Anolis sagrei: one gene and its partner. The protein of the gene in region 1 purifies or fractionates together with the protein of each later gene. This does not show direct contact. Links are inferred from orthologs where the notes say so. Each region holds a gene or a part of one and is shown on either strand. Other genes may lie near its edges.

Evidence for each region.
Region 2: the proteins of ILK (region 1) and CCT8 purify together in Homo sapiens (affinity purification with mass spectrometry; 4 studies listed by BioGRID and IntAct, with this or other methods). This does not show direct contact. The link is inferred for Anolis sagrei from reciprocal best matches to the Homo sapiens genes ILK and CCT8.

What each region holds. Positions count from the first base shown.
Region 1 is NC_090023.1:1,050,641-1,054,395, forward strand, and holds the start of ILK (integrin-linked protein kinase), read right to left. Parts: upstream 2,654-3,755; coding exon 2,565-2,653; intron 1,495-2,564; exon of another isoform or gene 1,474-1,494; intron 1-1,473. Other genes in the region: RRP8 (ribosomal RNA-processing protein 8), read left to right, coding at 3,281-3,364. UniProt on the Homo sapiens protein: Scaffold protein which mediates protein-protein interactions during a range of cellular events including focal adhesion assembly, cell adhesion and cell migration.
Region 2 is NC_090023.1:68,094,065-68,097,819, reverse strand, and holds the start of CCT8 (T-complex protein 1 subunit theta), read left to right. Parts: upstream 1-1,217; 5' UTR 1,218-1,335; coding exon 1,336-1,395; intron 1,396-3,755. UniProt on the Homo sapiens protein: Component of the chaperonin-containing T-complex (TRiC), a molecular chaperone complex that assists the folding of actin, tubulin and other proteins upon ATP hydrolysis.

The DNA.
Region 1 (3,755 bases):
ACGTTGGACACTTCCCAAGTGTCTAGGACTATTACTATTATTATTATTGTTATTATTATCATGATGATGATTATTATTATTATTAAGTGTCTAGGATTATTATTATTATTATGTGTCTAAGATTATTATTATTGTTGTTGTTGTTGTTAGCCGCCCCAAGTCGGGAGATGGTGGCGTGGTTTAAATAAAGATTATTATTATTATTATTATTATTAGAAACGCTGTAAGATGAGTCCACAGCAGACAAGATCACTCTGTTGGCTGTTGTGTTGGATGACACGTTGGACACTTCCCAAGTGTCTAGGACTATTACTATTATTATTATTGTTATTATTATCATGATGATGATTATTATTATTATTAAGTGTCTAGGATTATTATTATTGTGATGATGATGATGATTATTAAGTTTCTAGGAGTATTATTATTATTGTTGTGATGATTATTCATCATCATCATCATCATCATCATCATATTTAATAACTTATTAATCGCCCTCCATCCGAGAATGCTGTAGGCAATTTACATTATTAATTGTCTAGGACTACTACTACTACTATTATTGTGATGATTATTATTAAGTGTCTAAGACTATTATTATTATTATTATTGTCTAGGACTACTATTATTGTTATTATTATTATTATTAAGTATCTAGGACTATTATTGTTATTACTATGTGTCTAAGACTATTATTAGTATTAAGTGTCTAAGATTATTATTATTGTCTAAGACTGTTATTATTATTATTATTATTATTATTAAGTATATAGGACTATTATTATTATTATTAAGTGTCTAGGAGTACTATTATTATTATTACTATTGTGATGATGATGATGATTAAGTGTCTAGGACTATTATTATTGTGATTATTATTATTAAGTGTCTAGAATTATTATTATTATTATTATTATTATTATTATTGTGATTATTACTATTATTGTTAGCCGCCCTGAGTCGGGAGATAGTGACGGAGTATAAATAAAGACTATTACTATTATTATTATTTGAAGCACTACAAGATGAGTCCACACGTCGGACATCTCCCAAGTGTCTAAGATTATAATTATAATTACTGTGATGATGATGATGATGATGATGATTATTATTAAGTGTCTAGGACTACTACTACTATTATTATTATTATTATTATTGTGATGATGATGATGATTATTATTATTATTCCGTGTCTAGGACTATTGTTATTATTATTATTGCCAACCCCTCTGGAGAGAGGGCCAGCCCCATTTGAAAGGTCCCAGAAGGAGGCCTGTCTCCATGCTGGATTGGGAGAGCACCCCCCCCCCAGGGCCCTGTTTAACCCGTCCCGGTAGAGGGCCAGTAGCTCTGCCTCTTTCCCTCCTCCTCCCTCCCTCCCTTGTGCCATGGCGGGACCCGTCCCGACCCCTCCCGACAGAGGTCCCCCCCCCCCCCCCCCCCGAGGCCCATGGAGCTGACTGTCTGACTGACCCTTGGTTGAGGTCATTCTCATGGTTATGGGAGAGAGAGAGCGCCCCCTGAAGATGATGATTATTATTGTGATTATGATTATTATTATTAAGTGTCTAGGAATGTTATTATTATTATTAAAATTATTATCATTGTGATGATGATGATTCAGTGTCTAGGATTATTATTATTACTATTGTGATGATGATGATGATTAAGTGTCTAAGACTTATTATTATTATTATTAAATGTCTAAGACTATTATTAGTATTATTAAATGTCTAAGACTATTATTATTATTATTGTCTAAGACTATTATTATTATTAAGTGTCTAAGACTTATTATTATTATTATTAAGTGTCTAAGACTATTATTATTATTATTAAGTGTCTAAGACTTATTATTATTAAATGTCTAAGACTTATTATTATTATTAAGTGTCTAAGACTTATTATTATTATTGTCTAAGACTATTATTAGTATTATTAAGTGTCTAAGACATTATTATTATTATTAAGTATCTAAGACTTATTATTATTATTAAGTGTCTAAGACTTATTATTATTATTAAGTGTCTAAGACTATTATTATTATTATTAAGTGTCTAAGACTTATTATTATTAAATGTCTAAGACTTATTATTATTATTAAGTGTCTAAGACTTACTATTATTATTGTCTAAGACTATTATTAGTATTATTGTGTCTAAGACTTATTATTATTAAGTGTGTAAGACTTATTATTATTATTATTATTATTATTAAGTGTCTAAGACTATTATTGGTATTATTAAGTGTCTAGGACTACTATTACTATTATTATTGTGATGATGACTATTATTAAGTATCTAAGACTATTGTTGTTGTTGTTGTTGTGATGATGAGGAGCCAACCCTTCCGGAGAGAGGGCCAGCAGCCCCCTTTGAAAGGTCCCAGAAGGAGGCCTGTCTCCATGCTGGATTGGGAGAGCACCCCACCCCCCACGGGCCCCGTTTAACCCCTCCCTGCAGAGGGCCAGCAGGCCTGCCTCTTTCCCTCCTCCCTCCCTGCCATGGCGGGACCCGTCCCAACCCCTCCGGAGAGAGGTCCATCCGGATGCCCATCAGACTGACCCTTGGTTGAGGTCATTCTCGGTGTTGTCCAGCCAGAGCCGCACGGCCACGGCGTTGCCCTCCCGGCACTGCGCGAAGATGTCGTCCATGGCCGGACTGCAAGGAAGGGAGGAAGGCAGGCAGGCAGGCAGGAAGGCTCCTCCTCAGCTCTCCCTCCTTCGTGGCTGTGGCTGTGCGTGGGTCTCCCACCCGGGGCGGCGCCCACTCCCTCCTGGCCGGACAAGGGACTGCAAGGGCGGAGCCCACACTAGCATCACTACCACCACAAGGCCGCACCGAGGGAGGGAGCCTCCAGGGGGCGCTCTCTCTCTCTCTGTCTCCCTCTCTATCGCCGGAACTGACTTCCTTCCTACTACCACAAGGCAGCACGGAGGGAGGGAGGGAGGGAGCCAGCCTCCAGGGGCGCTCTCTCCTTCTCCCTCTCTATCGCCGGAACTTACTTCCTTCCTACTACCACAAGGCAGCCGAGAGGGAGGGAGCCTCCAGGGGGCGCTCTCTCTCTCTCTCTGTCTCCCTCTCTATCGCCGGAACTTCCTTCCTTCCTACTACCACAAGGCAGCACGGAGGGAGGGAGGGGGCCTCCAGGGGGCGCTCTCTCCTTCTCCCTCTCTATCGCCGGAACTTCCTTCCTTTCTTACTTCCTTCCTTCCGGTCCGCAGCGTGCCACTTCCGGGCTTCCCTCCTTCCTGCCTGGCTCCACCGCCGCCGGGAGGAAGATGTTCGAGGAGGGCGAGTGGGACGAGGGCGGGACCTCGGTGGGGACGACGGCGCCCTGGGGGACAACCAAGAGGGCGGGCAAGGTGAGGAGAAGGGGTGGCTGGGGGTCCTCTTGGGCTAAGGCCTGGGCCTAAGAATCCTACCATCCTCGAGTTGGCTACCATCCAGGGCAGTCACGTTCAAAACACCCCCAACAGATGGCCATCCAGCCTCTGGTTTGGGCCTTAGAATCCTACAATCCTCCAGTTGGCTACCATCCAGGGCAGTCACGTTCAAAACACCCCCAACAGATGGCCATCCAGCCTCGGCTTCAAAGCCTCCAGAGAAGGAAGGAGCCTCCACCACACTCCAGGGCAGAGAGTTCCAACACTGAACAGCTCTCAGAGTCAGGAAGTTCTTCCTCATGTTGTAACTATTATTATTATTGTGATGATGAGCCAACCCCTCCAAACACATGGCCATCGAGCCTCTGCT
Region 2 (3,755 bases), about 67 Mb from region 1:
ATATAGTAAGGCACTAAGTGTTTGAAAACTTAGAGCATCGCGTTCTAAGCTTTGCTTGAGGACTCGTTTTGAGCTGAAAAGCCTTTGTTTGGTGCCAGGAGCAGTTCTGCAGCGTCCTGAAGATAACGTTTGTTTACGGCAAGACAAGGTCACTCTACGGACAACAAAGTAAAAAAGACTGTATATTATTCTGTTACATGCCTGTAAACCGCATTGAGTCGCCTGTTTGGGCTGAAAAATGCAGTATAGAAATAAAGCAAATAATAATAATAATAATAATAATAATATCGCCGTTGAATGAAGAGGACTCACCAAAGATATTGTTTTTTGTTATATTTTGGTGAAAGCAATTCTTCTGTCTTGTTTTGTATACAGTGAATAGAACTTCATTTTCATTTCTACTTAAAGCGAAAGATTCATGTGTTTTTTTATGAGTTAGTTTTATCACACGAGTTAAAAGGGCTAAGTCATTCTGTGGGCTACTAACGCTAACAGATGGCACTTGCAGTACCTTCACTCACTTCCTGAGACCACTGCCACCCTCATCCAATGACTTATCAAGACCTAACTTGGCGTACAGAACCCCCATGACCCAGTCTACATCCTGTTGGGATCTGAAGGACGATGGAGTATGGATGATGGGACTGGCAATACCTTCACACACTTCCTGAGACCACTGCCACCCTCATCCAATGACTTATCAAGACCTAACTTGGCACACAGAGCCCCCATGACTCAGTCTACATCCTGTTGGGATCTGAAGAACTATGGATGATGGGACTTGCAGTACCTTCAAACACTTCCTGAGACATCTGCCACCCTTACTCTAAGCCTAAGGGTTAGGGACTTACCATTAAAGAACTCTTTACATCTAATGACTTATCAAGACCTAACTTGGCACGCAGAGCCCCCATGACCCAGTCTACATCTTGTTGGGATCTGAAGGACGATGGACTATGGATGATGGGACTTCCTGAGACTACTTTGCTCAGAAACATTAGTCGAAGCTAGAGTATATCAAACCTTAGAATCTTGGGATTTGTAGTTCAGTGAGGCAGGGAAGGCTAGAAACCGTCCAAAAACTAGACTTCCCATGATCCCATAACATTGAGCCACAAAGTCGAGCCAAACGCAGGATCTTCTCAGCGGCGCATGCGCAACTCTTCCTCATTTTGGGTCGCTCCTCCACTCCCTCCCTTTGTAGCGCCTCCTTTTTTCTTATTCTGCGCCTGCGCGCGAAGGGGACGACGGGAGGCCGCCGCTCGCGCACGCCGCTCCAGCCCTTTTCGGTACTTCTCCGCTCGTGGCCTTCAGGAAGAAAGAAAGAGAGAGAAGATGGCGCTGCACGTCCCGAAAGCCCCGGGCTTCGCTCAGATGCTGAAGGAAGGCGCGAAGGTGAGAGAGAGGAGCGCTCGGCGGGGGTGGGGGGGGGGGGGTGGCGAACACGGAAGGTTCCAGAAGCCGAGGCCTGGCCCATGGAGTTCTGAGGGAACACGCGCTGCTCGGGGGGCGGAGCCAAAGGGACCACCGAGAGAGAGCGCTGCTGGCCTCCTTCCCTTTCCTTGCCCCGAGGGGGGTCCTTGGGTGCCTCCCTTTTCCTGCCGCCTTTCATTGCGGGACAGTTGCCTAGGGACCGGGAGGCTCGTGCGCCAAAGAGGCGTTGGCCCCAGCACTAACTGTCCCGCGTGCTGACGTAAGAGGTACGCGCCAGGCTTGGGCCGAGAAGGAGAAGCACCCCCCCCCCCGCTTTTTATTGCGAGTTTGTGATTCTGAAGCACAAGTAGTCCAAAAATGGCAGAGTGTCCCCTCCAGGTGGTTTGGATGCGCCACTTCATGCTTGCCTTTACAACCCATGCGCCCCCTTGGTGAGTGGGAAATGTATTTATTTATTTGAAGCATTTATACCCCGTCTTTCTGAGGGGGGACTCAGGGCGGCTTGCACTAGGCAACCATTAGATGGAGCACATTGAATTAACAAACGCCATTAAAACAATTATAAACATTCAAGAATTCTAAAGTATTGCTAGTTTAAAATCGTGATCCTAAATCAGTCCATTCCCGGTCACAGCAGTCATTCACATTCAAATCATTATATCTATTGCTCAAAGGCTTGACCCCAGAGCCAGGTCTTAAGTTTTTGGTGATAGTATGATAGCTGGGTCCAGAAACTCTGAGCATTACGCACATTCTGCAACGGTGGTTGTGAATAAGGGTTAGGGAGAGCGGCACACTAAGGGTGGGAATATACTTCATAGTTGCATTTGGTGGAAGGATAAAAAAGAAGTGAGGGTTAGGATAAGGTTTAGGGGTAGGGTAAGGTTTGGGGTTTGGGTTAGGATAAGGGTATGCCTTAGGGTAAGGGTTAGGGACTTACCATTAAAAAAACTCTTTACATTCCTTCTATAATATCTGTGTTCCATTCTGCGTTGCACAAACAGCGCTCCCAAAGGAGCGAAGCGGAAACAGCATAACGCTCAGAGCTTCCGGACCCAGCTTTCATACTATAACCAAGTTTAAAAAAAAAAAAAAACCAGGAGGGAGGGGACAGATCTGATATCATTTTGGGGGGATTTCCAAAGCCAAGGAGCCACCACCGAGAAGGCCCTTTCTCTCGTACCCACCACTCACGGTTGCAAGGAAAGGAGGTTTCCTGTATGCCTCTTGTTCCACCCTCCTGTTGTGACAGCAGCTTTGAAGTCACTTTATAAATCAGGCATAGGCAAACTTGGGCCCTCCAGATGTTTTGGATTTCAGCTCCCACAATTCCTAAAAACTGGTAGGAATTGTGGGAGTTGAAGTTCAAAACACGTGGAGGGCCCAAGGTTGCCCATGCCTGCTTCATAGAATCATAAAAGTTAGAAGAGACCCTAAAGACCATCCCATCCAATCCAACCCCATTCTGCCATGCAGGAACACACAATAAAGCATTCCCAACAGGAGGGCCCATACATCTTATATATTTATTATTTATTTCATTTTTGCCCCACCTTCTTCACCCAGTTGGGGACTCAAGGTGGCTTCAATGCCACATGGACATAACAATAAAACACACCCCATCAAATTATAAAAACAGTTAAAACATATGAGCAATTAAAACACATGAACAATAAAACAGATTAAAACCATGTAAAGTGCAGAGTCTTGATCCCATACTTATCCACAGTCGTTATTCAGGCTGTTAAAATCTAATTCTGTAATGTCCTATTCGCTAAACACCTGCAAACAAAGCCAGGTTTTAAGCTTTTTTTCTACAGACCAGGACGGGTAGGGCCTGCCTGATGTCATTAGGCCTGCCTGGTGTCATCTCCTGCATACCTCTAGAAAATGACTCAAAACACTAAAAGGCAGCACATTCCAGATTACCTGAGATATTAGGTTCCTTTGTACATACCGTGGAGAGCATTAAGATCAAGCATCCGCAAACATCTGTGACACTTTCCGTTTAAAGTTCACTAGAGGGGTCCTTCTCGGGAGTGGCTCCCTCTCTTTGAAATGCCCTCCCAGGGGAGAATAGATAAGCACCCTCTTCGTCTGCATTTAGGAAGAGCCTAAAAACTTCCTTTTCGAAGAAGTCTTCAGAGGAAAATAGCAATACCTTAAGGTTGGGAAGGCCCTTTGACTTTGTTACATATTATCATGGTGGCTTTAAATATATTTTATTGGGGTTTTCATTAGTATTCCACAGTATTAGCTAATACTTATAGTTTTAATTTGTCATTAATTTATATATGTTTCTACTGGCTGTAAGCCGCCTT